7 linked regions of the Danio rerio genome follow. The protein of the gene in region 6 interacts with the protein of the main gene of each other region in a pairwise test. Links are inferred from orthologs where the notes say so. Each region holds a gene or a part of one and is shown on either strand. Other genes may lie near its edges.

The links.
Region 1: the proteins of ntaq1 (region 6) and lztfl1 interact in binary tests that used the Homo sapiens proteins (3 or more experiments, as listed by UniProt). The two-hybrid records come from large-scale screens. The link is inferred for Danio rerio from reciprocal best matches to the Homo sapiens genes NTAQ1 and LZTFL1.
Region 2: the proteins of ntaq1 (region 6) and ncoa5 interact in a two-hybrid assay, tested with the Homo sapiens proteins (3 studies listed by BioGRID and IntAct). The two-hybrid records come from large-scale screens. The link is inferred for Danio rerio from reciprocal best matches to the Homo sapiens genes NTAQ1 and NCOA5.
Region 3: the proteins of ntaq1 (region 6) and tsc22d1 interact in binary tests that used the Homo sapiens proteins (3 or more experiments, as listed by UniProt). The two-hybrid records come from large-scale screens. The link is inferred for Danio rerio from reciprocal best matches to the Homo sapiens genes NTAQ1 and TSC22D1.
Region 4: the proteins of ntaq1 (region 6) and amot interact in binary tests that used the Homo sapiens proteins (3 or more experiments, as listed by UniProt). The two-hybrid records come from large-scale screens. The link is inferred for Danio rerio from reciprocal best matches to the Homo sapiens genes NTAQ1 and AMOT.
Region 5: the proteins of ntaq1 (region 6) and lonrf1 interact in binary tests that used the Homo sapiens proteins (3 or more experiments, as listed by UniProt). The two-hybrid records come from large-scale screens. The link is inferred for Danio rerio from reciprocal best matches to the Homo sapiens genes NTAQ1 and LONRF1.
Region 7: the proteins of ntaq1 (region 6) and kctd9a interact in binary tests that used the Homo sapiens proteins (3 or more experiments, as listed by UniProt). The link is inferred for Danio rerio from reciprocal best matches to the Homo sapiens genes NTAQ1 and KCTD9.

What each region holds. Positions count from the first base shown.
Region 1 is NC_133199.1:12,588,448-12,591,140, forward strand, and holds the end of lztfl1 (leucine zipper transcription factor-like protein 1), read left to right. Parts: intron 1-1,212; coding exon 1,213-1,316; intron 1,317-1,473; coding exon 1,474-1,492; 3' UTR 1,493-2,193; downstream 2,194-2,693. UniProt on the Homo sapiens protein: Regulates ciliary localization of the BBSome complex. Together with the BBSome complex, controls SMO ciliary trafficking and contributes to the sonic hedgehog (SHH) pathway regulation. May play a role in neurite outgrowth. May have tumor suppressor function.
Region 2 is NC_133181.1:58,120,957-58,125,028, reverse strand, and holds the start of ncoa5 (nuclear receptor coactivator 5), read right to left. Parts: upstream 2,801-4,072; 5' UTR 2,690-2,800; coding exon of another isoform or gene 2,593-2,689; coding exon 2,477-2,592; intron 1,915-2,476; coding exon 1,802-1,914; intron 1-1,801. UniProt on the Homo sapiens protein: Nuclear receptor coregulator that can have both coactivator and corepressor functions.
Region 3 is NC_133184.1:20,416,153-20,420,130, forward strand, and holds the start of tsc22d1 (TSC22 domain family protein 1), read right to left. Parts: upstream 2,801-3,978; 5' UTR 2,250-2,800; coding exon 1-2,249. UniProt on the Homo sapiens protein: Transcriptional repressor. Acts on the C-type natriuretic peptide (CNP) promoter. Acts to promote CASP3-mediated apoptosis.
Region 4 is NC_133196.1:41,177,330-41,180,829, reverse strand, and holds part of amot (angiomotin), read right to left. Parts: coding exon 3,357-3,500; intron 2,820-3,356; coding exon 2,306-2,819; intron 1,702-2,305; coding exon 1,557-1,701; intron 1-1,556.
Region 5 is NC_133183.1:15,527,518-15,531,500, forward strand, and holds the start of lonrf1 (LON peptidase N-terminal domain and RING finger protein 1), read left to right. Parts: upstream 1-1,183; 5' UTR 1,184-1,257; coding exon 1,258-1,867; intron 1,868-3,983.
Region 6 is NC_133194.1:37,454,721-37,458,716, forward strand, and holds ntaq1 (protein N-terminal glutamine amidohydrolase), read left to right. Parts: upstream 1-1,196; coding exon 1,197-1,276; intron 1,277-1,356; coding exon 1,357-1,456; intron 1,457-2,629; coding exon 2,630-2,680; intron 2,681-2,760; coding exon 2,761-2,909; intron 2,910-3,334; coding exon 3,335-3,459; intron 3,460-3,545; coding exon 3,546-3,649; 3' UTR 3,650-3,665; downstream 3,666-3,996. UniProt on the Homo sapiens protein: Mediates the side-chain deamidation of N-terminal glutamine residues to glutamate, an important step in N-end rule pathway of protein degradation.
Region 7 is NC_133183.1:61,414,462-61,417,662, forward strand, and holds the end of kctd9a (BTB/POZ domain-containing protein KCTD9a), read right to left. Parts: coding exon 3,148-3,201; intron 3,069-3,147; coding exon 2,963-3,068; intron 1,170-2,962; coding exon 1,036-1,169; intron 738-1,035; coding exon 621-737; 3' UTR 501-620; downstream 1-500. UniProt on the Homo sapiens protein: Substrate-specific adapter of a BCR (BTB-CUL3-RBX1) E3 ubiquitin-protein ligase complex, which mediates the ubiquitination of target proteins, leading to their degradation by the proteasome.

The sequences.
Region 1 (2,693 bases), on a different chromosome or scaffold from region 6:
AACAATTCTAACTCATGAATAGCAACTTATCTCGCTAGAAACTGGTGAAAAGAAAAGTAAGGAAAAGAAAGCTCTACAGTGTGATGCGCCATATTCTTCCCTATACTAAACTGTAGAAAAAAATAATAAAAAGCTGATGTTTACCTCTTACTTGATGTCTTTAACAATACATTTTCTACATGTTTGCTAAATGAAAGTTATATGACATCTTCTCTATTCACCTTACTCTGAGAAAAGAGTGAACCTGAGGAGGTAGGCCTATAGCTTAATTTGACGGGAAAGAGCTGAACCAAAAATTGCAAACAATCTAATCAATCAAAATGAAATGAAACAAATAAAAATCACAACATTTTTCAAAGTGGGCAAAAGTAATGCAACTTCATTTTACCAAAACGAAATTTATGCAAAAATCATAATCATGTCAGCAAAATACATTGAAAACAGGATCAAAGGAAATAGCGCTCCTCTTCGCTTTTCCTGACGTCCATTTTATATCACCACTCCACATCGCCCAATGATGATAGATCGGTCTCCCCACCATTCAGCTGTCATGAAGGCAGACCTACAGAAATGACAGGCATGGGGAGAGCGAGAGATTAGCACAAAGATCAAGCCTCTCACCTGAGAATGTGAACATCATGGTGTTTTGAAGAAGAACTTAACTTAATTGAATATTACAAATGTCCTTAGAAAGGACAAGCCTGTTTATCTTTTACTAGTCTACACTGCAGTTATTTATTTTATTTCAGTTTACTTCATTAAGATGGCTGCACTAAAGAGAATATTTTTTTCTGACTAGTCTATATTGGAGGTGTTTATTTAATTTTTCTAGTTTACTCGGGTATCCGGACTGTTCAAAAAATGTGATGGCAAAGTTAATAAATTAAGTGAATCTGTTGTTCCTTAGCACTGCTGTTAAGATGACATGAACCCTAACCCCACAGCAAACAGAAACCGAACCTAAACAAAACCAAACCGTGGCTCTAAAACCGTGAACCTAACAGAATCGTGCCATCGGTGTATCGTTACACCTCTAATATATATATATATATATATATATATATATATATATGATTTTTTTATTTATATGTATTTGTGTGTGTATTGTTTTATTATTATTATTTTATTTAAATAAACAAGGCAAACTTAAACAAAAACTATGTAAAGCGTCATGTGTTTGATAAATCATATTATGCTTTTTTATCCATTAAGGAACTGGAAAAGAAATTTCAGCAGACAGCTGCGTACCGCAACTTGAAGGAGATTCTCAATAAAAAGAATGAACAGATTAAAGACCTGAGAAAGAGACTACTAAGGTACAGTTAGAATTTATAATAATATAAATATAATATATATTACAAATATAATGAGTTCTATATAATATACCAATTATTATATTATATAATTGCTCAGAAAATGATATTGTTGAAAAAAAATAATTAATGTACAGTTGTGCCTTATTTTCTTTTTCAGATATGAATCAGCTGAGTGAACAAGCAACCCACAGGAAACTCATGAAGAGGTCATAAAGAATTTTTAAGCATATTTAAGCAAGCTGAAGTCTTTTTTTCTGTAAAGGGACACATTTAAAAAAAACAGGACCAAATTATGAGAAACAAGAATTTGCAAAAATAAACTGTCATCCCCATTGATGAGATGAGCTTTTTTGGGTCTGATACATAAGTTACACAATGTTGTAAGTTTTGCTGCTTTACACTAGATTAGAAATACTTCACTCAAACAAGAGCACAATTGATTGTAACACTTTAGTTGATCACATTCCACACTATAAACAATTTATTAACTAGCACTATTAGATTAATACACTACTAATTACCTGTTTATTAATAGTATAGTAGAAGTTGGGGATTAGGATTTGGGTAGGATTAGGAATGCAAAAGATTGTACTTTGACTACGAATGAACAGTTATTGTCTTAATAATAGACAGGTAATAAGTCAGTAGTAAATAACATGAATTGTGACCTAACTAAAGTGTTACCCAAGTAACTAGTTTTTCATTGTAGGGCTTGTTACTCAGATGTGATTTTTACATGTACCTAATTTTTACATTGAAGATTGTGGGCTCGCATTACTAAGGAGAAAACAATGTCCAGTGCTTTTTTCATGTTTACCTGATTAATATAGCTTCACTTCTGTCAGTTTCATGTTTCTGAGTAAAAAATAGCAATTGATATGTGCACATTGTTTCTTTCCATTTTCTTTTCTTTTCTTTTTTTTTTTTTTGTAAAGGTGTAACATTTAGGACTCCTTTTAATGTCTATTAAAGGATTTAACCTGTTATCATATAATGTATTCATATATATATATATATATATATATATATATATATATATATATATATATATGCATACATATTTCTGTCTGTCTAGCTGTATCTATTGCTTATTACCTCTGAGTGGTAAGGTTCAGTACTGTGCACATTTATTTCCTTTTCACTATCAAATGTACCAGAATAGCAAAAAAGCGCAGATTACTTTTTAGGAAATTAGCAATCCTAAGGGCAACTATAGCTCAACATTACAATACTAAGGATAAAAAATCTTGAGCCAGAACTTTTTTGGAGGGGGAGGGGGAGTATTTATTGTTATTATCAGCAAATATTGCTGATAATAACAAACATACAGTAATAAGAGCTTAAAGTGCTTAAAAAACTGATAGACTCTATTCAGTG
Region 2 (4,072 bases), on a different chromosome or scaffold from region 6:
AGACATGCGAAATTGCATCACGTGACTGTGCGAGACGAATCGAAAATTCAAACATGACCTCTCTGCACAGAAACGTAAAATATGGACCAATCGCTTGCTTTTATAACTGTCTAATCATCTTGTTTAATCCCACCCCTTATCGCTGCTCTGTACGACAGAATTTCGCAAGCTCAAACTCTAATGTGACCGCGGATTTACTTGGCTTTCAAGAAACATCTGTGCAGGTGTGTTGAGGCAAATTGGAGCTAACATCTGCAGGACACCAGCCATCCAGGACCAAGTTTGAGAAGCCCTGTCCAGGGCTCTAAATTAACCTTTTTACTTGGTAGCACTGGTGCTCCCATCTTTAAATATTTAAAAGCCTCAGAAAAAATGTAGGAGCACCCACCAAAAATGAATGAGCACCATTGCAAATTGTATATTAAGGGATTTATTGTATTTGAAAACAACATCAATTAGGACTAACAAAAAGCAGAAACAACTATCTAACTAATGCTGTGATGACTTAATATTTGTGCAATAATTCCAAAATGAATGTCTAATAATTATAAAATATTAATGATAACGATGATGTCAATGATGCTAACAATGCTTTACATTTCTCATTATGATGCAGCCTTGAATGTGCTTGAGTGCGAGTTATTTGCTATAAAAGTCCCACTGTTAATTTATGAAAAACACATGTATGGTTTGCATCAAACACAAAAGAAGCATTTGAGTAAGAAATATTTATTTTGCACTATTGTTTTCATATGCGTGTCAATTTAATAAATACTATTTCTGCTACAAAACAAACGAAAGATTATAATAAATCATTCCATTCAATGCTAAAAGCTGCAAAGCAGTCAACAGTAACTAAATAGAAAAACAATATACATCTCACGAAAGAACAGACAAAAGAAAGTAAGAAAAGTCTCTCTTTTAAAAGTTTGGGTTTGTGTCATTTTAATGTTCAGTTTCGTTATGAGCTGATTTTCATTTTTCTGTGTTTGTGGAAAGCAGGTGAGTCAGCCGATGCAATATATGAGGGGGCAGAGCAGGATTTTCCCGATGACCACTGGTGCAATACCGCTCTTTGTTATAAGCCGCATCAGTTTAAACTTAGTAAAGCTGAGCTTCTTTGGTGATGGTGTGTAAAGTGTTAGATTTTACATTTATCGTACATTTGTGCTGAACACGTAGTGAATGCAACGCATCGAGATTCAGTGTACTTTTCACTCTTCAGTCGTTTGAATTACCCGCGGTCACAAAAGCTCCCAGTCATCTGACAGCGGAAAGTCTTGAGTGATTGACAGCTAATATGAACCAATATAGCGGCAGAGAAGAGCGATTCAGCACGTTTTTAGAAAAAAAAAATCTAAACAGGTCGCACTACACCCATTATATGCAGTCGCACAAATGCTCGCAAATATATTATGAGGTTGCATAGATTAAATGTCGGGCGCGTATGCGACCAAAATGGTCGCAACTTCGAGCCCTGCTGTCATATCATATTGGTCATCCATTAATAGTCATTTTCACTTCATGCAAACACTCAATTTCTAAAAGAAAAAATTGTTTAAAACCAATCATTTCTATGAATATCTTAATATCTAACCTTACCCATTTTGTCATTTGTCAGTTATTTGAACAGAAAAATTAGAGTAGCACTTGCAGCACCATATTTTCATTACAACTTATGCAGCAAACGAAAATCACTACTTGGTGTAAACATTTGTCACAAAAATGTCAATTTACTTCATGCAACAAACCAATTTTATTTTAAGAATAAAAAATATTAGTAAAAGTGTTATTAACCCACCCTCTGGCTCTCTTCTGCCGTTCCAGGGGTCTCTGTATCGATCCGAGTATGCCTCGTCTTTCTTCCGATAATAATCGTAATCTCCACGATAATAACGATCATAACCTTCCTCTCTGTAAAAACACTGTACATTTAGACAGGAAAACTACTTAAATTTAGGAACAAAATTACCAAATCAATCTTAAAGGGGTCATGAACTACTTTTTTTGCACTCTTGTCTACTGAGATCCACTCAATGACTTTTAATAAAAACTTCACTATTTAGTTTTTAAAAAAGCGATTGGCTTTTTTCTGTCCTGTTTTTGACCCTTTCATCAGAAAGCATTGTTTGTTTTCTGATAATGGATGTACACTTTTTGGATAAAGCCCACTGCTCTGATGGCTAACATTTTTGAATATTAGCAGGGCTAAACAGGCAGTGAATCAGAAGTCAACCTTCTACAGAGGCAAAGCTTATCCACCCTATTACATCATAAAGGAGAACATTCCAGAACCTGTGGTTTCTTTAGACTGCCTTTTAATGCAAGCTGCTTTTAAACAAGCCACAAGTTTTCAGTTTTGAGTTCTGAAATGTTTTTGGATGTTTTAATAGTATGATAACCTCTTATATGTCAAAAGATCAAGGGTATTTTGGTTTCTCAGTTCATGACTCCTTTATATGTCCTGTTTGTGCACCTTAAGGAAGGCTCTTTCTCCCTGCTCTCAGACCCCCTGTATCGTTCTTCAGCTGGGGGTCTATCCTCATGTTCACGTGTAGAAGAGGGACGCGATTCACGGCTGCTGGCCCTCATCTCTCGACTTTCACGGTGGTAGCGAGAATCTCGTGCGTGCACCGGGGACCGAGAGCGAGGACGGGGCTCGCGACTCTCCCCATAAGAGCTGGATGGCCTGAACAGAATAAATACACTCAATCAACACATGACAACTAAACACGTTTCCCCAAAACTAATCTCTATTAAGACTACTAAAATTTACTTTGAAGTGCTTCAAAATGATTACAAGATTAAAATCAAATGGTAAAATTACACAATGAACATTTTGTTTTGTTGTACCGTACAAGCATGAGTGATGCCCGTCGCAAAATTCACGTCATTTATTTTATAAAACGAACCGTCGCACATTCTAAATATAACCCTTTCCTAAATTAAACTACATGTCGAACCTCATCTGTTTGTGATAATCATTAATATTTAGTTTCCACGAGTCATAAACAGTTTTTATTTACATTTTTTGCTAAATAAAATGCATTTGAACAAAGTCAAACAGCACATTTTTGTTGCTTCCACTCCGATCCACGTCAGCAAAATGATTTGCTAAAATAATAGTTTTAAAGCAGAGGTGATGAACAGACAAAGGTGGTGACTGGAAGATACACACCAACCTGACAACCTCCAAAATCTTACTTAGAAATCCAGCCATTAAGTGAACGACTGAAATTGTTTAAATTACTGTTCAGTTCTTTACATCCCATTCAAGTAAATGAAATTGTTTTTTTTTTATGTTTTAGGAAGTGATAATTGGAGTGTCGAGAACCCGTAACTGTTTGAAAACCGTGCATAGTAAGTGAACAGAATGAATAACACACCGTTTAGACAAGAACACACCAAGGGAAATGCACTCAAATTACCCTTTCAACTTTATTTCAATTAATTCTGATACAACTAAAAGGAAAATTGGAAGAAAAAAAAAAAAAAAAAACTGAACAAACTAAAAAGCGAAAAGCCACGAGAAATGTAAACTGAACCAATTTTGCGCACCCGACAATGATATTGCGATATTGGTGAATTCCGGTGTGGAGGGGAAAACGGTTACCAAAATTCTCGATAGATGTCGTCTTCAGTAGCAAAAAGATCCCAGCGATACATTACCTGCGTGGAGGACTTGATCTGGATTTATTCTGTCGTCTCTCAGCTGCCATATTTACATCTGAAAATAAACCAATCCAAACGTTCAACATGACAGATGACGGAAATATTTCAGAGCCAAACGAGTGTTTGATTAACAAAAGAGAAACACTTTGTTCTGCATCATTTGTTTGTTTAAATTATAAGCATTTCAACAGTAGCTTAAAAGTAAATACTACAGTTTGTGAAGTAAACATTGTACTTATTTATTGTTTTATTGCCATATCATTATGGCAAAAACACAAATATTACATTAACACAAACAAACAGTAAATTACAATAATTGAAATTATTTAAGGTTCTTTAATATGTATAAAATATTCTAAATAGATTTTTACCCGAGTACCCGATAACTTTCTAAAATGTA
Region 3 (3,978 bases), on a different chromosome or scaffold from region 6:
TGCTGCTGCTGCTCCATGGAGGGTTGTGAGGTGAGCTGCTGGCCTGGTGTCTGCTGTATAAGAGTGGTGCCAGTGGACTGCACCAGCTGCGGCACAACCTGGACCATCTGCGGGGCGGGTGTCTGTTGTGGCTGCAGGAGCCCTTGCGGAAGTGGCTGAGCAGTAGGGGGCTGCGAGGAGGGTGTGATCATCTGACCATTACCAGCGAGAGCCACAGGAGGGATGGAGGCGGACAGGTGGGGCAGAGTTTTTGTTGACCCAGGTGGCACAGTGCTCAGGATCTGCTTGGATTGGGAGAAGTCAGATGGCAGGCTGCCTCCCTGGCTTAAGGGGTTAACATGTGTTGGTGCTACCTGGGCTGGTGCAGCTGGCTGCTGTGCGGGCGGATAGCCCATCTGCTGCTGGGTCACCACAGGCAGAGCTTGAGCAGGAGGGGATTGGGCTGCTTGGGCATATGTCAGTTTGGGCATATGAGAGGGTAGAGGTGCAGACGATTGAACAATCGTGGTCTGCAATCCTCCGATAGATGCAGGCGGTTGCTGCTGAATGTTTGCTGTTGCCGGCATCGGAGCTGCTGCATTCGTTTTAAGATGCACTTGAACTAAGTCTTGGGGTTGCATCTGAGACATGGGCTGCTGGAAGGTCTGCTTCACAGTAGAGGGGCCGCCCGTTTCACCGCTGCCCAGACTTTCAGTGTAATGGCTAGCTGAGCTGCTGACAGAGCTCCCGCTGACTGTGTCTCGGTCCTGTCCCGCCACACTTTCAGGCACACACTGACGGATACTTTCCACTGTTCGGGTGCTAGGGGCATTTTCAGAGGATGCCACATTTGGGGCTTCCTTATCATAGTACTCTGTACAAGTCCATCTACCCTTCTTAAAAGGCTCAGAGGTAGAGTCCAATTTGACCACTCTGAAACGTGAACTGGTGGAGGCAGGAGTAGGCACTTGGGCCTGCTGAGGCTGAGCGCTCATCACTGGGACAGAGGGTGCAGGCATTGCATGCTGCCCCATGACAGCTGGCCCCATTTGCCCTCCACCTGTTGACGCAACACTACCGGAAACCGTGGCAGCAGCGGTGATGCCCATGCCGATTATTCCACTGGGAACGTGGGTCAAGTTTGGGGTTTGGTTACTAATACTATTCAAAGCAGAGGAGTAGTTTACACTGCTACTATTGGTAGTCTTGCCACCCACAACAGGCACACTGGCAGAGTTTAACACGGAAACATTATTAGTTAAAGTATTACCAGTACTAATCGTGGCACCTGAAGTCACAGAAATCACTCCAGTTCCAGAGGCGAGAGTAGCCAAAGGCTGTCCGATGGCACTAGTTGTGCCAACAGAGGCATTCTCAATCAATCCCACCACATTTGAAGGCATTTTCTGGCCTGTGCTAGCCGAACTTGAGGTCACCACAGATGTGACCGGGGCACCCAAAGGTACCCCAATCAGTGTCCCTCCAGCAGGATGGGTTTTTCCAGAGGAAACAGGATTATGATGGTGATGATGGTGGTGGTGGTGATGGTGGTGGTGAACAGTTCCGTTAACCATGGTGCCATGCAGGTGTGCTTGGGTTATAATGGGTGGCTGGTTGGGTGACAGGGCACCAGGGGTCTCCGCCTCATGAAAATTATTCAGCGTCTCCTCAGAGGAGCTTCTTTCAGGACCTCCTGAATTGTTGGCCCGTGGAAGAGACACATCCATGATTTCAGAGGATGACAAGTCCTCTGTGTGGGACTCATCCAGGTCGTCACAACTCTCTGTGTCTTCTGTAATGCTGTTGTTGGTGCTCACAGATGTCTGCGCCGGGGTGACGCTGGTGATCTGGAAGCCACTCTTCTTCTTCATCTGTGCAACTGCAGTGGGCAACGTTTGGGGTAACATGGGTGTCTGCAAGGGGATACTCAGGCTATGCGGAGGGTTCTGGGGCCCGAGCGAGGACGCAGTCTGCGTTTGAGACTGAATCAGCACTGGTGGGGAATATTCATCCGCCAGCATCAAGTTGTTGCTATTAAGGCTGGTGCTTGCTGAAGTTGTCAATGTAGAGGAACCACCTACTGTGCTGCTGCTGTTCTCCCGTCTGGGTAAACTCATGGGGTAAACCATTTTTCGGGCGCTGCCGGAGTCTCCGGATCGTTCGTGGTGATTCATTGCTGGAGTATAGTCTCTGACAAAGTTATAAACGCAGCTCAAGAGAACAAGCTCTTTTGGGAAAGCAACTTCAAGCCGTTCGAGTAATTTCCACATAAAACCAACACGTTCTTCTAACTGCCACAATAATTCCACTTGAGGTGTATTTAAATGTCCACCATGAGGAGCAGGCTAATGCCAATGCTAAGTTAACAGTCGCTAGCGAGCTAGCCGACACGGATTCGCTTCGGCTGTTGTTTTCAAAGGTATATCCTCACTAAATCACTCAGCACACCATATCGGTGAAGTTTAAGCGTGCAGGAGTCGACACAGACGGCCGAGGCGATTAATATCCAACCTTATAACGACACGGTTTCTCCCCATCACAGTTCAAACTGCCAGGCGCATTTTCAATTGTTGTATCGCAGTCACCAGAGCACGAAATCACACGAAACTAAGTCCTCCAGCCGGCGTCAGATGACAGAGAGAAAGCGAGCAACTCAGCGCTGTCCTGCTTTATTCCATCCCGTGCTTTCTTTTGTTTTATTCCTGTGTTAGCGCAATGTCTCTCTCCCACTCTGCTCCTATTCACCAGCTGCCTCCTTGTAATGTAGCCTGTGCTAGTGCTATGAGCCTGTGACGAGTCCCCGAAAAGGGGAGGAGAGCGCGATAACATGGCGACCGCGCATGGCAGTTCACGTCCACCCGGCCAGACATAAAGCCCAGAGAGTCTGGCGAGGATGGGCGGAGGCGAGGAGGGAGGGGGGTTTCCAGGAGACGGTCGACGAAGAGTTCCGAAGAGGCCCGAGTGGAGCCGAGTGCGACCAACTGTGTTGGTTGAGGGGTGTTTCTTATTATAGCCTTCGGTAACTGTGGCAGCAAACACTCAGAATAACATCTTTTGTCCGCCGTGGTTATTATTATTTGACATTGAAGGAGAGACGAAAAAGGCAGGGCATAGATTTCTGGTTCCCAGTTTTAAATGTATAAAATTTTATATTTATAAAAATCGACTTCAGATTTAATTTTGAACATAAATTAATTATAAAATATAACCTACTACAGATTAAACATATGAACGATTAAGCAAAACGCTATTTTAAGTTAGCTGCTATTGTGTGTGTTGGCCTATACAGGCCAGCTACATCAACAAGATGCAAACAGACCTTGTGACAACAATGTTGTCAACATAGTCCAGAGATTTGTTCTGTTTTTACAAAACAACTCGTCTGAAAGAGAACCCAGATATTTCCACAGACAGAAAAGAGCAACCAAACACATCTGCACTGACACAGTTTTTTTTTTTCACACAATCTGATTGTTGCTGTTTGGGGAGCAGAGAACTAAAGTTCTAGGTGCAGCAGACACAAAAAAAAAACATTCAGCTGTTTTACTTTAACATGAATAATATCCAAAATGTGAACTCAAAATATATGCTTTGTTTCAGACAAGCTACACTATAATACAACAGGAATTTATTACATGTGTGCTGATCCAACTATATTTAGCTTTCAGCTGTGATTGTGAGAATACCATCTTTGTTGTCTGGAACAAGTTTCGCATTATAAACCTCAGATATTTATACCCACACTGATTATTTATACATTCTACCAGAAACTTATACAATCTGTCTCTGAAATAAAAAGATAAATGCAGTGAATAAAAACTTCTTCATCCCAACAATTTCTAAAATGGATTGATAGTGGATTTTTGTGAGTTGTTCAGGAAAGGAATTTGTCTGACAAATCATTTGGTTCTTAGATTTTTGTTCTCAGATTTTTTTATTTTTGTTTACAAACCCAGTCATTGTGTCATATGTGAAAATGTAATAGAATATGTGAAAATT
Region 4 (3,500 bases), on a different chromosome or scaffold from region 6:
GAGACTCTCTTCTTTATGCCAATCTTTGAATTGTATGAATCGGATCAGCGGATCAAAAGTTATTAAACATTTAAGAGCAATACTTATTTTTAGCCGCGGGCGGCTGTCTCGGTCTTTAAGGGTTAAAACCGTTGATATGCAATTGTTCATGGTATGATAATCGTGCACGTTCAAATCGTGGTAAACCGTCATACCGGTATATTGTTACAACCCTATACATATATATATATATATATACATACATATATATATACATACATATATATATACATATATATATATACATACATATATATATACATACATATATATATACATACATACATATATACATACATATATATATACATACATACATATATATATATATATATATATATATATATATATATATATATATATATATATATATATATATATATATATATATATATATACACACAAAAAGTCAACATATGCACCTTGTCCTTGACTTTTACTACACGCAGCGCACGCACATGAACAGTGAGTAAGAGAGGATATAAAAGCAAACAAGCTCTAAGGTAAAACCTGACGCTCAAGACATAATCTTTAAAATAATGACTTCTATTACAAATGTAGACAGTGGTTTGTGATATAAGAATTACAGCGGAGCATTATATAAATGCACATTTCCATAGAGCGCTTTTAGGTAGCCTGATATTTTTATTTCTTGGAAGAAAAAACATGGCAAAAAAAACAGCCGATGCTGGTTTTTAAAAAGGATTCAGTCAGTGTTTTCATTTTGTAATCTAAATTTGTAATTTAAGTGAAAAATAGGTAGACCTATTTGTTTTATTCTTTTTATTTAGCTTATTCTTGTTTCTATACTGGCGAAAACACTGCAGGTGCGTGAAAATGTTCTGTTGATAATATGTTCACATGTTAAAATCAATCAGTATTTTAAAATGCAATATTTATTGTGTCAGAAACAAAATAGACACGTTAATTATTTTGTTTTAAATTAAATAATAATTTGATATTAATCTGACTAGTTAATGGTTAATATTCAGTTAACAAGCAGCGGTTTCTGGTTGGCAAAATTAACCAAAATGAGCATCCCTAGTTGCTCTGCAGACTCCAACTGCAACACATAGCACTGCCTGTATTAAACATGCACACTGATTTGATGTGGGAGTAAAGGTATTTAAACAAATAGCTTAAGGTGAAGTAATATTTAAAGTTTTTATACAAGTGTCCTTGTATGATTACAGTTAAACCACTGAGAATGTCACTCTGAATGTTTTGGCAATGTTTCCGGTGAATTTTCTGGGCTTTGAATGTCTCTGGGCCATTACTGTCTATGAAGGGTCACTGAGATCTCATATTTATGTTACAAGAAAAGGTCTCAGGGGATAAAAACCACAATTGGTAGAGCAATTTAAGCCAAGAACAACACAAACATGTTTTGAGATCAGTGACAATTTTACTGCTAAAAGGTGTAGTATAGTGGTAAAGTACAATTCATGAATCTTCCTTTCATAATAATCTCCTCCTAATACTTTCAGAATACTCCGATATATTGCTATGTTTCTCACCTCGTAGGTCCCTGTTGAAGTCGTGCACCCTGCGCACCTCCATCTCCAGCTTATTTCTCATGGTCTTCTCAAGAGCTTCCCTCTTTGTGGATGATTTAGCCAAGTTCTCGTAAGCTTCTGACACCATCTGGATCTCAGTCTCCATCTGTAAAGAGATTACATTGCTGAGGCCTCACAGAAACAACAAAACAGATTTTGTACAACTAAAACATAGCATGCAACATTGCCTTCCACTTTTGATGTGTCACTCTTGATGTTGATGTCACTCTTGATGTGTCACCTAAAAATCTTTTCAAAGCTTGTTGAATCAAAAGTTTAGATGGTTATCATGCCAGAGTTGATCCTTGGTCATCTGAGAGCTTATTATAATATTTATAAACTCTTTTTTCCATAGAAACACCAAACACTTTTAAACATCTTTGTTATTAAACACACCTGATTCAACTCATCAGCTTGTAAGTAGAATCTACAGGACTCCAGAAACAGAATAATCAGATACCCAACACATCCAAAATGTTTTCTGTTGCTGTGCCTCCAAGAACAAAGTTGAAAACACTGACCTATCCTGAACTGACCTACATTTGCACTGACATGGAAATGGTTTCATTTAAGTGGATGTGGTACAGGTTATGACCTAAATTGAGCAAGCATTAAACATGTCTTTCTCTATCTCACTTACTCAAGGGTCCCCAATTAAATATTTGATTGTGTAATGGTAATGTAATGAGAAACTTCAAAGACAGTCATACCTTTTGTAGTTTGGACACTTTCTCCCCACACACCTCCAGCTCTTGCTTAAGCAAGCGGTTTTCTTCAGACAGCATATCCACCATCTGCTGGGCACGGGCAAGCATGGCATAAGGATCCCCCTGCATGGAGAGTGGATGTGAGTAGTGTTGTGCTGGACTCTGTTGCTGCTGCTGCTGGGGGCCCTGTTGGTGGTACTGGTGCTGGAGCATGTGGAGGCCCCTTGGAGCTGACCCATAATGATCATGTGGAAACACGTGGCTCCGTTGATGAGGAGGATGGCCTGGGCCGTATGGATCACCTTGGTGAGAACCAGGCCCCTGTGAGCTTCGAGCACCTATGGGGAAGGGTGGCTCTCCCGAATGACCCATTGGTGGAAGCGCATGGGAAGCAGCCAAGATGCTGCTGAGAGTGGAAGACTGAGCACGGGAGAGAGAGCCTCCAGACGTAACCGAAGATGAAGGGCTGTGGTGATGGACGGACCTTTGAGAGTGGCTTGAACTCTCCTTACTTGACCTATTGAGGAGCAGAATAATGAATTATACTCACATCTTGATTGATTGCAAGAGTAGTAGACAAATTCTAGAGAACTTTGTGACCTACAAAATAAATTTAAACTTGCATAACCAACGGCTTCTTTCAAGACATTCAGTCACTGTTGTGAAACGACTATGTACTGCATACCAACCGTTCACAAAAATATTTTTCACAGGTCAACATTCCTGGTTCTCTACAACAATAATGGACAAACTGTCATGCTGTGACATGTTGTAGATGATTATTTGAATTTGATATGCATACTTTTGCTATATGCCACACACTTGCTCTACAGTGAATGAATTCAGGGAAACAGGCAAAACTTGCTTTTCCCATAACAGGTTTCCTGACAACATGTCCCAGCATTTAAGGGAAGGGCTGTTTTGAGACTCATCACCTGAAGTTTTTTAACAACTGATATGCCAGGGAATGTAATATGCGCTGTAAGGTGCATCGCACCAGTTCCCATAAAGTCCCAAAATTCAGCCCACTTCTTAGCCTTTAAGGCACACTCACCGAAAAGAGCCGTACTCAGGTGGTGGCTGGTACCGGACATGAGGAATGTCAGTCCTGGCTGGTTGGCTTGTACCGCGGTGGTCTGGGTGGAAGTGTCCAGGCTCCTGGTGCTGAGGCTGATGGTGCTGTTGCTGTTTGGGTGGA
Region 5 (3,983 bases), on a different chromosome or scaffold from region 6:
ATGCGAGTGTGTATAGGTGTGTTTGCATGCAGCAAGTTTATATGTATGTGCGTGTGTTAATGTGGGTGTTTATGTGAGGATCGAGTTTATATGTATGTGCGTGTGTATGTGGGTGTATTCATGCGTCAAGTTTATATGTATATACAAAAAGTTTCATCCATGTTGTTTTGAACATCCAGTAGTATAGGTGTATATGCAAGTAATTTATAGGTGTATATACACGTGTTTTATGTATGTGTTGATAAGCAATTGTTTGATTTAAATCCTATACGGCACCTCATATGCTACCACTGATCTATATACACTTTTTGATAAGTGGCTGCTTCATATTTTTGTTGAAGTAATAATATATTATTTAAAAAAACTCCAGCTCTTTTAGTCAACACTGATATAACATTTTTTCAAAAGAAAGAAAAAATACATTCATAATGTTACAAAAGATTTTATTTCAAATAATTCAATCCTGAAATCACAGCAAATCAGCATACTAGACTGATTCTTCAAGGTCATATGACACTGCAAGCATCACACATTGTGCTTAACTTAATAAAGTGGTGATCGCATAAAAATGATTTCCCAACCCTGAATTACGCATATCTATCGGCCACTGATGCTTTGCAATGGGAAAATGTTATCAGACTTATCTCTTGTGCAATATGGAATTACGTATGTGTGTGTTGACCTATATATTACATGACTACCGACATTCCGACAGACTTAACACTGTTGAGTAACAGACCCAGACATTCAACCTATATGCCAGGCCCCTAGACAATTCACACAAACACATTTAGTTAACACAGGAAATCATTGATCTCTTTTCTCAAAACAAATACACATCAGTGAAACACGCAAAACAAATCCTGATGTTATATCACACACGATGTCCGGTCAGTTAAAATGTTTTTTCCACCAAAACGCCCAGCATAAAAGTGAATAACACATGATAGTCTGATGACACGCTGACTTCTCTGGATTTATATGCATGCATTCTTTCAAATCAGCCCTTTTTCTCGCTATAGTCCCGAATTGCTCGTTACAAAACTCCGAGCTTCATGTTTTGTAATGCGCCTCGGCTGCCAATGGACGCGCTCGCTCACGGTCACGTGAGTGTATTTTTACGTAACTCGCGGACAAAACGCCAGTATGTTTAGGAGCGCGAGTCACTACGTTCTTCTACACTGTTAACCGTAAGAATGCTTTGACATTTTTATCATTTATTATATTTTGCCAGTTCAGTGGGCGTCGCTCGCAAACATGTCGTTGCGGAGACTAGACCAAGACTACGCTTTGGAGGAGAGAGGACGGTTTTTTATACCATCCGAAACTGAAGGCGACTGGGACGTGGACGAGCATGTCGATCACCGTCAACTTGTTTTGCTCAAAGCTGAAGCTTTAGCGTCGGAAAACCGTCTCAAAGAGGCTGTCGATATGTTCGCCATGGCTCTCAGATACGGTCCTGTCAGGCCGGAGCAGCTGAGCAGTTTGGTCGGATGCGTCCTGCGCAACTTCAAGAAGAAATCAGAGGAGTCGCCAGCGAGAAGTGAGCCGAACTGGACACAGGACTGTGAATTAGACTGCCCTGGTTGCCACTGTTTCATAGCCGAGCCCGTGACGGTGACCTGTGGACACACGTATTGTAGGAGATGTTTACAGCATAGCACTTTTTCTCAATGCAAAGTGTGCAACGAGGACATTAGGAGGAGGCCAGGTGAACCCCGGCTGAATGTGATATTGTGTGGACTTTTAGACAAGTGGTTTCCAGAAGACGTCAAAAGAACTAAATATTTAGGGGAAGCTGAAAGCCTGTTGAAGAGTAAACAGTACGACAAGGCGATTGCACTAACGAGTCGGTTATTAGACTATGGTAAGTTCGCATCCTCCTGTTTTATTGTTGTTGTTATTATTATTGTAAAATATATGCACTGTCGGAAGGGTAATTGGGTCAAGTTTTTATATTATTAATAGGAGGTTTAAGGAGTTCCACTGACCAACATTTGGATGGCCAGCTGTAACTTACATATTAGCCCCGCCCCCCGCGGTCATGTAACAGGAGAGTGGCTGCATTACAAAACGTGTTCGCATGGCGCATGCGCACTCGCCGCGCGTTGTGTAAGGCAGGTCGTGACACAGAGAGTGTTTTGTAATCTGAATCAAAGTGAGTTTTATAATAACAAGTAGAACAGTGCGTTATAGCCATAATGTTCTATTGTTTATTCACGAGACCGATGCGTGAGGGCTGTCATGTCCTGTTGGTTGAATAGTAACCTAAATCCTAAAACGCTTTTGGTAAACAACAGCTGAAAAAGGTTGCAATGTCAAAACAGGCATGAATTGTTACTTTGTATTTAACGTTTTTTATCAGTTTTTACCTTTTATGAGTGTATTTTTGGGTGTTTATGCTAACAACTAAGTTTATCAAAAGGCGTAATAGAAGTGCAAGTTGTATACCAAAATTCAAAAGCAGCTGGACTGAAAAGACTGCAGACTATATATATATATATATATATATATATATATATATATATATATATATATATATATATATATATATATATATATGTGTGTGTGTGTGTATATATATATATATATATATATATATATATATATATATATATATATATATATTTACACACACACACACACACACACGTATGTGTGCGTGCGTGTGTCTGTGTGTGTATATATGTGTGTGTGTGTAATATATATAATTTATATTCATTTTCATTCATTTATTTTGTCCTATTTAGATCCTGAATACCCATATATAACCATGACACATTAAGTTCAGTATGTTATGTTATGGAGAACCTTGAATTTCTATTCCAAATGTCTGGATGTCGACAAATTCCTCTATTCGGGTTATAAACAGTATTACATTACATCAGCTGGTGATTCCTGATTTAAAAGAGATAATCTTTGTCCTTTTTATATGAGTTTATATAACTTTTCTCACATCAAAATATTCTTATTATTATTATTTAAATGCATTGTTGATTCATAAAAATCAAGTGGCAGGCAAGAAAACATTGAGTTGCATAACATATATATAAGGTCATCTTGTGTAGTTAAAATTGGAAGGACTTTTTTATTTAGTAATCACACTGTGTTCTGGGCACATGTTTTGATAAAAGTGTGTGTTCCAGATAAGTAACATCATTGAGCAAATCAGAGGTACAGTATAATCATGGTGCGGCAGTCTCATCTTCACTGCTGTGTCCTCATTTACCCTGCTGGAGGAAAAAAACAAGGCAGCCCTGCAGTGTCACTCAGTTCATGTTCCCTTGTGGCATGTCGGTTCACAAATGTCTCTCGTTGATCTTCTCATCTTACACATCATAAAATCTCGGGGATCACGAGTATGAAAATTAATGACACAGCGCCTGTCAGACTGTAGAGGCAAGATAGTGCAGCTGGATAGGGTAAAAAAAGGCAACAGCTAAGAGTTATTACTATTTTTTTTATTTTCGATTACATTAAGATTTTCAAACTCATTTTGCATTGCAGCTGTATAAAAAGTTACATTTTAATCAAATAAGGCATTGTTTTGTTAAATATGTGCTTATTTTCATACTTTTCTATCACAAGCATCTGAGCATTGATTGAAGTCAGACTGAAAATTCCTTTTATTATTATTTTTTTGACATATTAGAGAAAAAAGTTTTTAAAGAAGGGATTTGAGGAGTCTTTTATACATTTATACACTCACCCATCCTGTCTGTCTGTCTGGCTATCTCACCATCTCTCAATAGTTACATTACATATGCAATGTTGAGAGTTTATATGTTGGGATTGTATTTGAGCATAATGATAATTGGCCATAAGTTCGCAAAACACGAGGTTTGTGGAGTTTAACCATAATAAAAGTTTATTATTTGCGTGTGTTTTTAACACCTGTGACTTTGCATCCCCATTTCTAAATTTAGTAAAGATTTATTTTATTTAACTATGTACAATGTTAAATCTAAAATAAAATTAAATCT
Region 6 (3,996 bases):
TTCCAGTTCACCAGCTCTCAAATCAGTGGGTCCACAAGTGCTAATGAGATCATTAGTAAAAGACATTCCTAAAAACGAGGTGTTAATGGTGGGCTTTTTCTGATGGCTACACCTCAAAACATAGGTGGCCCTATACATCTTGTTAAAAGAATATGGTTAATATTTGTTGGTTTAGCTTACTTTATAACATCATAAGTATTTGAATGTTATCAAATTTCATTTTAAACAAACACGTTAGCAAATAGTGGATTCTTAAACGGTAAAAGTGTAAAGAGCTGTTTATTTGTGGCTCAGAAATGGGGATTTAGCCTATGAAAACAATAAAAAGTGTAATAAAACAGTTGTACAAGTAAATAAATACATCTCTCAGAATGTGATATATTTAATCCAAAAAAATATTTACCTTATTTTACAAAAGACATCTTGTACGCATATATATTTAGAACATTTTGTGGCTTTTTATGACCAAAGCAAGTGTGAACCAAGACAACTTTTGACAAGACTACATAGTTATTCATTTAGACTATGTGCTAACCTCCTTAATATTAACTCATACTGTGGTTTTGGTAGACAATTTGAATGGACTGATAGTTTGAAACATATTGTCAGGACTCTATAATGAGTGAACATGTATAGAGAAATGAAAGGGTTTGAGATAAACATGCATTAGAAACAGAAACACATTTTCAGTTTAAAACAAAATATAGTTCACAAAAAAAATTTATAGATATCCACAAACATTTATACAAGTATGTGGCAAAAAACGAATTAACGTGCAACAAAATACAATCAGATACTCTGAAATTAGAAACCAATACATTGGCTAATTGTATTGAGTTGAGAACGATGCCTAACTGCACGTTATCTTTCGCTAACGTGTTTTCTACTTATGCTTTATGAAAGTTAGACTGTTTAATATTTATGCTGATAATCGTGCAAGTGCTACATTTGCAATTCACATAAGGAGTGAATGTTCGCGCATCACCTGTCTCGCCGGAACGACAAATCCCCTGAAGTTCCTTACGGACAAGATACATTGTAACAAGCAACAGTGCGGTTGCAACGCGAATCGCTTCATTGTAATATTAATGTAAATATCTATGGTATCATTATACACATGTATTCTTTTGTCATGTCGTTATAACTGGAAGTCCGCGTAAACCTACTGTATATACACGTATATAAGGAAGGAAAGAATGAATGAAGAAAGCGCTTCGTCTGAATATAAAGTGATCACCCCGTCCGGAAACCAATGTGTTTACACCAGCTGTTACTGGTAAATGCGATAATACCTGTAACATTATTTCAAATTTAAAACGTACCGTATTCATACACGTATTTAAATGTTTGTTGCAGTGAGGAGAATGTGTGGAAATTGTGTGAATATATCAAGAATCAGAGACATTGTCCTTTGGAAGAGGTGTATGCAGTATTTATATCTAATGAAAGAAAGAAGGTGAGCTTCATCTCCACACAAGTATTTTACATTTAATGAAATGTACAGTTTTCTGTTATATACATACATACACACACACACACACACACACACACACACACATACATATATATATATATATATATATATATATGTATATATATATATATATATATATATATATATACATATATACACACACACACACACACACACACACGTATACAGTCACCGGTCACTTTATTAGGTACAGCTTTCCAACTGCTGCTCAACGCAAAAATAAGCCAATCACATGGCAGCAACTCAATGCATTTAGGCATGTAGACATGGTCAAGACGATCAGCTGCAGTTCAAACCAAGCATAAGAATGGGAAAGAAAGGTGATTCCAGTAACTTTGAACCTCGAACCTTGAGGAGATGGGCTACAGCAGCAGAAGACCACATGGGTGCCACTCTTGTCAGCAAAGACCAGGAAACTGAGGCTACATTTCACACTGGCTCACCAAAATTGAACAATAGAAGATTGGAAAAGCGTTGTCTGGTCTGATAAGTCTCAATTTCTGCTGCAACATTCGGATGGTAGGGTAAGAATTTAGCGTCAGCAACATGAAAGCATGAATCCATCCTGCCTTGTATCAACGGTTCAGGTGGTGGTAGTGTAATGGCATGGGGGGTATTTTCTTGGCACACATTGGGCCCATTAGTACCAATTAAGCATTGTGTCAACGCCACAGCCTACCTGAGTATTGTTGCTGGCCATGTCCATGCCTTTATGACCAGTGTACCCATCTTCTGATGGCTACTTCCAGCAGGATAACGCACCATGTCATAAAACGCAAATCATCTCAGACTGGTTTGTAAAACATGACATGAAGTTCTGTAATCAAATGACTTCCACAGTCACCGGCTCTCAATTCAGTAGAGCACCTTTGGGATGTGGTGGAATGAGAGAATCGCATCACGGATGTGCAGCCAACAAATCCACAGCAACTGTGTAATGCTATCATGTGAATATGAACCAAAATCTCTTGAGGAATATTTCCAGTACCTTGTTGAATCTATGCCACAAAGGATTAAGGCAGTTCTAAAGACAAAAGAGGGTCCAACCCGGTACTAGTAAGGTGTGCCAAACAAAAGGGGCCAATGAGTGTATATATAGTATGTATGTGTGTTAAAAATTGTGTAATATTTCAGATACCTATTTGGAAACAAAAGTCCAGTCGAGGGGATGAACCAGTAATTTGGGTAGGAACTTTATATGTATAAAAACTATGCATATTTTATGGTAGTCTCTAATTGATATAAAAATGTTGTTTTCCATTTAGGATTACCATGTTATTCTTCTACACGCAAGTAAACAAGGACCGAGCTTCATTTACGATTTAGACACCATTCTTCCATTTCCTTGTTCGCTTGACGTTTATTCAATGGAGGCCTTTCAGTCTGACAAGCATTTGAAACCTGCTTACTGGAGGCAAGTATTATCTGGTCTAATCTGCATTCTACAAAAGATGAAATAACATAAGTGTAACAAGTACTTAATAAATTTATAAAAGAAAAGCACATCATAAAATGTGAGGACAAAATTGAATGAAGATTTTAATATGAATTAGTATTTTGAGGCTGCATTGTTATCCATTTAGTATGGCCTCACATTATTCTTGTTTTAAATATAACTTAGTATTTTAAACTACTGTTACACTTAACTACATTTTAGAGGTCATCTTATGTAAATTGTGGTGATGGACAATAGTCAATTAATTTACTTTTGCATTAAATAATATTATTTTTATATATATATTTTTTAACAAATGCTTAAACTCCTTTATGTCTTTGACCCTTATAATAATAATAGCCAGTCTTAGTTGAATGTAATCAAAGTGTTGTTTGCTCTTTTAGGAAACTTCGAGTCATACCCGGGGACACTTATTTGAAGGAGTTTGCTTCTGATCGGTCTCATATGAAGGACTCCGATGGGAATTGGCGTATGCCACCTCCAGCATATCCATGTTTAGAGACACCAGGTTTGTTTTCTATTGCAGATTTATATACAGTAAATACTATAATTTGATTTCTTCTTCCACTTTCATGTATAACGTGTCCTTTTCAGAATCCAAAATGAATCTTGATGACTTCATCTGCATGGATCCCCGAGTGGGATATGGAGAGGTTTACAGCCTTTCAGACTTTGTTAAACACTTTGGAGTAAAGTAATGCTTTTTTTCCAGCACATTTTTTGTTGTTGTTGTTGAAAAATGTACATAAACAGAGCCTCAGGGAAAGATCCTATTATGATGGAGAATGCTGCAACTAAGCAGGCCTCAAAAGACACATTTATTGACTCTGAAATTATTTTTACTAATTGAACAGTTGGCAATGTGGCTTAATTATAGTCAGGTAGAAAGGTCACAGAAAAGAAAGCCATTGTTGTCATTTGTCGAGGATGTGTATTATTTTTATAAAGAAATCAGTTACACAGATGTACAGATAATAAAAATGCAGAATTTAAACAAACAACCAAACCGAAATGCGAAACTGTGTAAGCAGTTGTAGTGCTGTAG
Region 7 (3,201 bases), on a different chromosome or scaffold from region 6:
AATGTTTTATTTATAATAATTTATTTATTTTAGTGTCCAATTTATTAAACATACAGCGGTCACTTTTTGGACATTTTTAAAAATTAACGCAATAGTTACTTTCGCTGGTAATTAGTTAGTTTTATAATGATGTAATCCAGTTACTAACTTTTTTTACTTACTTTTTATGAGAAGTAACTAGTAACTATAACAAATGTTTTACCTTAAATCAAGCAAAATAAACTGCCAATGGCATAAGCAAAACAATTTTGGTTTCAGTTTGAAATAAGAACATTTTATTTACCCTAATGGAAGATTATTTAGCTAGTTTTAACAAAAAAAAACTCAGATAATTCTGACTTACTGATTCTGAAAACAAAACAATATTTTGAATTTGTGTAGAAAGTGCTTCTTGACTGAAGAATTTTTAGATATCTGGCCCGAAAACTGGACAAAAATCCTAAGCAAGTAGAATTTCTTTTAGTTTTTTTTTTTTGCAGTGAGTAAAGCTCAAAGAGGGCTGGCAAAACAAGTGCTAGTATTGCATAAGTTTTCACAGGAGCGTGAAAAGGATTGTGGGTAAGAGAGTGCTGTGAGGAGCTGGCTGGTGGCTTTTACCGGGCGGTGAGCAGAGTAAGTGGTTATCTCACGCTTTGAGACATGTGCAGCGGAGTCAGCATCTCCTCAAAGATGGCTCCTTTCACATTTGAACCACGCAGATTGGCTTCCTGTAGATCACAGCCTGAGAGATCGCAGTTCTGAACACACAATCAAATAATCAAGAGTAATTTTAAGCAGGATGCTAGTGTCTTGAAAAACAACTAGTCAAATATTATTTACAATCATCATGGCAAAGATAAAAGAAATCAGTAATTAGAAATGAGTTATTAAAACTATCATGTTTAGGAATGTGTTTTAAAAAATCTTATCGTTAAACAGAAATTGGTGAAAAAATATGCAGGGCTCATAATTCTGACTTTAATTGTTCATATTTTTCTTCTTCCTTTGAAAAATCTCTAAACATTTTCAAACATTCAATCAACACTGCCGTCTCACCTCTAGATCTGTGCCGGCTAATGTAGCACCACGCAGGTTACAGTTCTTTAGCTTAGCATTCTTCAGCGTAGCCACACGCAAATTTATCCCAGTCATCTGACTGCCCTCCATGTCCACTCCTTTCAGATTAGCCCCTAAAGCGCACAGCAAAAACATTGCTTAAAACATGGCAGTTCAACATTAAAGGCACAGTTCACCCAAAAACTCTGGACCTTTTATCTGCTCATTGTAATTGGGATAATGAGGAAATAACACACACCCGACCATGGAACAGTTTAGAAGCCAAATGTCTGATTACTTTTGGTCCCTTAACAAGTGGGAGGCGCATATGCAAACTCTTCCTACAGCGGTCACTTGATTTGGATGTTAATACGCTCAAATTAAAGCTGACACTCTGCAGTTAAAACACATCTTGTTGGTTTTATTTCAAATCGGTTGTGCTGGTGTATAGAGCTAAAAATGTTAGAATTGTGTCAATGTCCAAATACAGTTGAAACCAGAATTTTACATACACTCTGAAAAAAGGAACATAGCCATTTTTTTTAATGTCTGGTGTTAAATCATACTAAATGTTTACTATTTTAGGTCCGTTAGGATTACCTAAATGATTTACATTTGCTAAATACCAGATTAATAAGATTTTTTTTTTTAGATTTTTTTTTTTTATTTCTAGACAGTCAAAAGTTTAAACACATTTCCTTGGTATTTTTTTTTTTTTAGCTTTGCTTTAAAACTGTATACTTTGGTCAAATGTTTTGGGTTTTCTTCCACAAGCTTCACACAATAGTTTGCAGGAATTTTGGCCCATTCCTCCAGACAGAATTGGTGTAGCTGAGTCAGATTTGTAGGCTGTCTTGCTCGCACAAGCTTTTTCAACTCTGGCCACACATTTTCTATAGGATTGAGATCAGGGCTTTGTGATGGCCACTCCAAAACATTCACTCAGTTGTCCTTAAAGCACATTTTAACTCATTTGGCAGTATGCTAAGGGTCATGGTCTGTTTGGAAGATCCATTTGTGGCCAAGTTTTAATTTTCTGACTGATGTCTTGAGATGTTGATTCAGTATTTCTCCATAATGTTCTTTCTTCATGATGCCATCTATGCTGTGAAGTGGACCAGTCCTTCCTACAGCAAAACAGCCCCACAACATGATGCTGCCGCCCCCATACTTCACAGTTGGGATGGTGTTCCTAGGCTTGTAAGCTTCCCCTTTGTCCTCCAAATGTAACACTGGTCATTATGGCCAAACAGTTCAATCTTAGTTCCATCAGACCACAGGACATGCCTCTATAAAATATTCTTTTCCCAGTGTAATTTAGCAAATTGTAATCTGGCTTTTTTTTTTGTTGTTGATTCTGGCTTGTTGATTTTCCCATGTTGTCACACAAGGAAGCAGTGTGTTTGAGGTTTTCCTTAAATACTATTCTACAGTTGTGACTCCAATTAACTCAAATGTTGTCAATTAGCCAATCAGAAACTTCCAAAACCTTGACAGCATCATGTGAGGTTTTTCAGAGGCAGAATAATCTTACTGTATGTGAACTTGAATTTCAATAAAAGTTAAAACAATTTCTCAAAAAAATCTCTCTCTCATTATTCTGCTATTAAGCAGAACAGAAACAAATTCAATAATTCTAACTTACCTAAAAGAGAAACAGTTTAGTAAAAAAAAAAAAAAACCTTTTTTTTTAAAATATGTTTTTTAAATGTGCCTTTTTATACAGTGTATGTAAATATAGGTAAATAAATATTCATAAACACATATAAATGTTCACACGTTTAAAAAAAATCTAAAATCTAAACATTCCAAACCTTCAAGGTGCTGACGACGTTAAATGTGTCATAATATGTCATGTGAAAAGGGTCCATCAGCTTAATTCTACTAGATAAAATAAACACTGGATTTAAATATGCAGGAGTTTTACCCTCTAAATTGGCTTTAAGTCCAGAGGGATCCTCAAAGTTACATCCTTTAAGAGACGCTCCCTCCGCATTGGAGCAGAGCATCTTCACGCCCTGAAGATTAGCACCCTGGAGAACAGGATCATTTAACAAACTGAGAGATGAAAAAGAAGGAGATTTGTCCCAGAGCAAGAGATAAAGGGCTCACATCCAGGTTGGCTCCCGACAGGTCGGCTCTCTCTAGGTTTGAGCAGCACAGGTT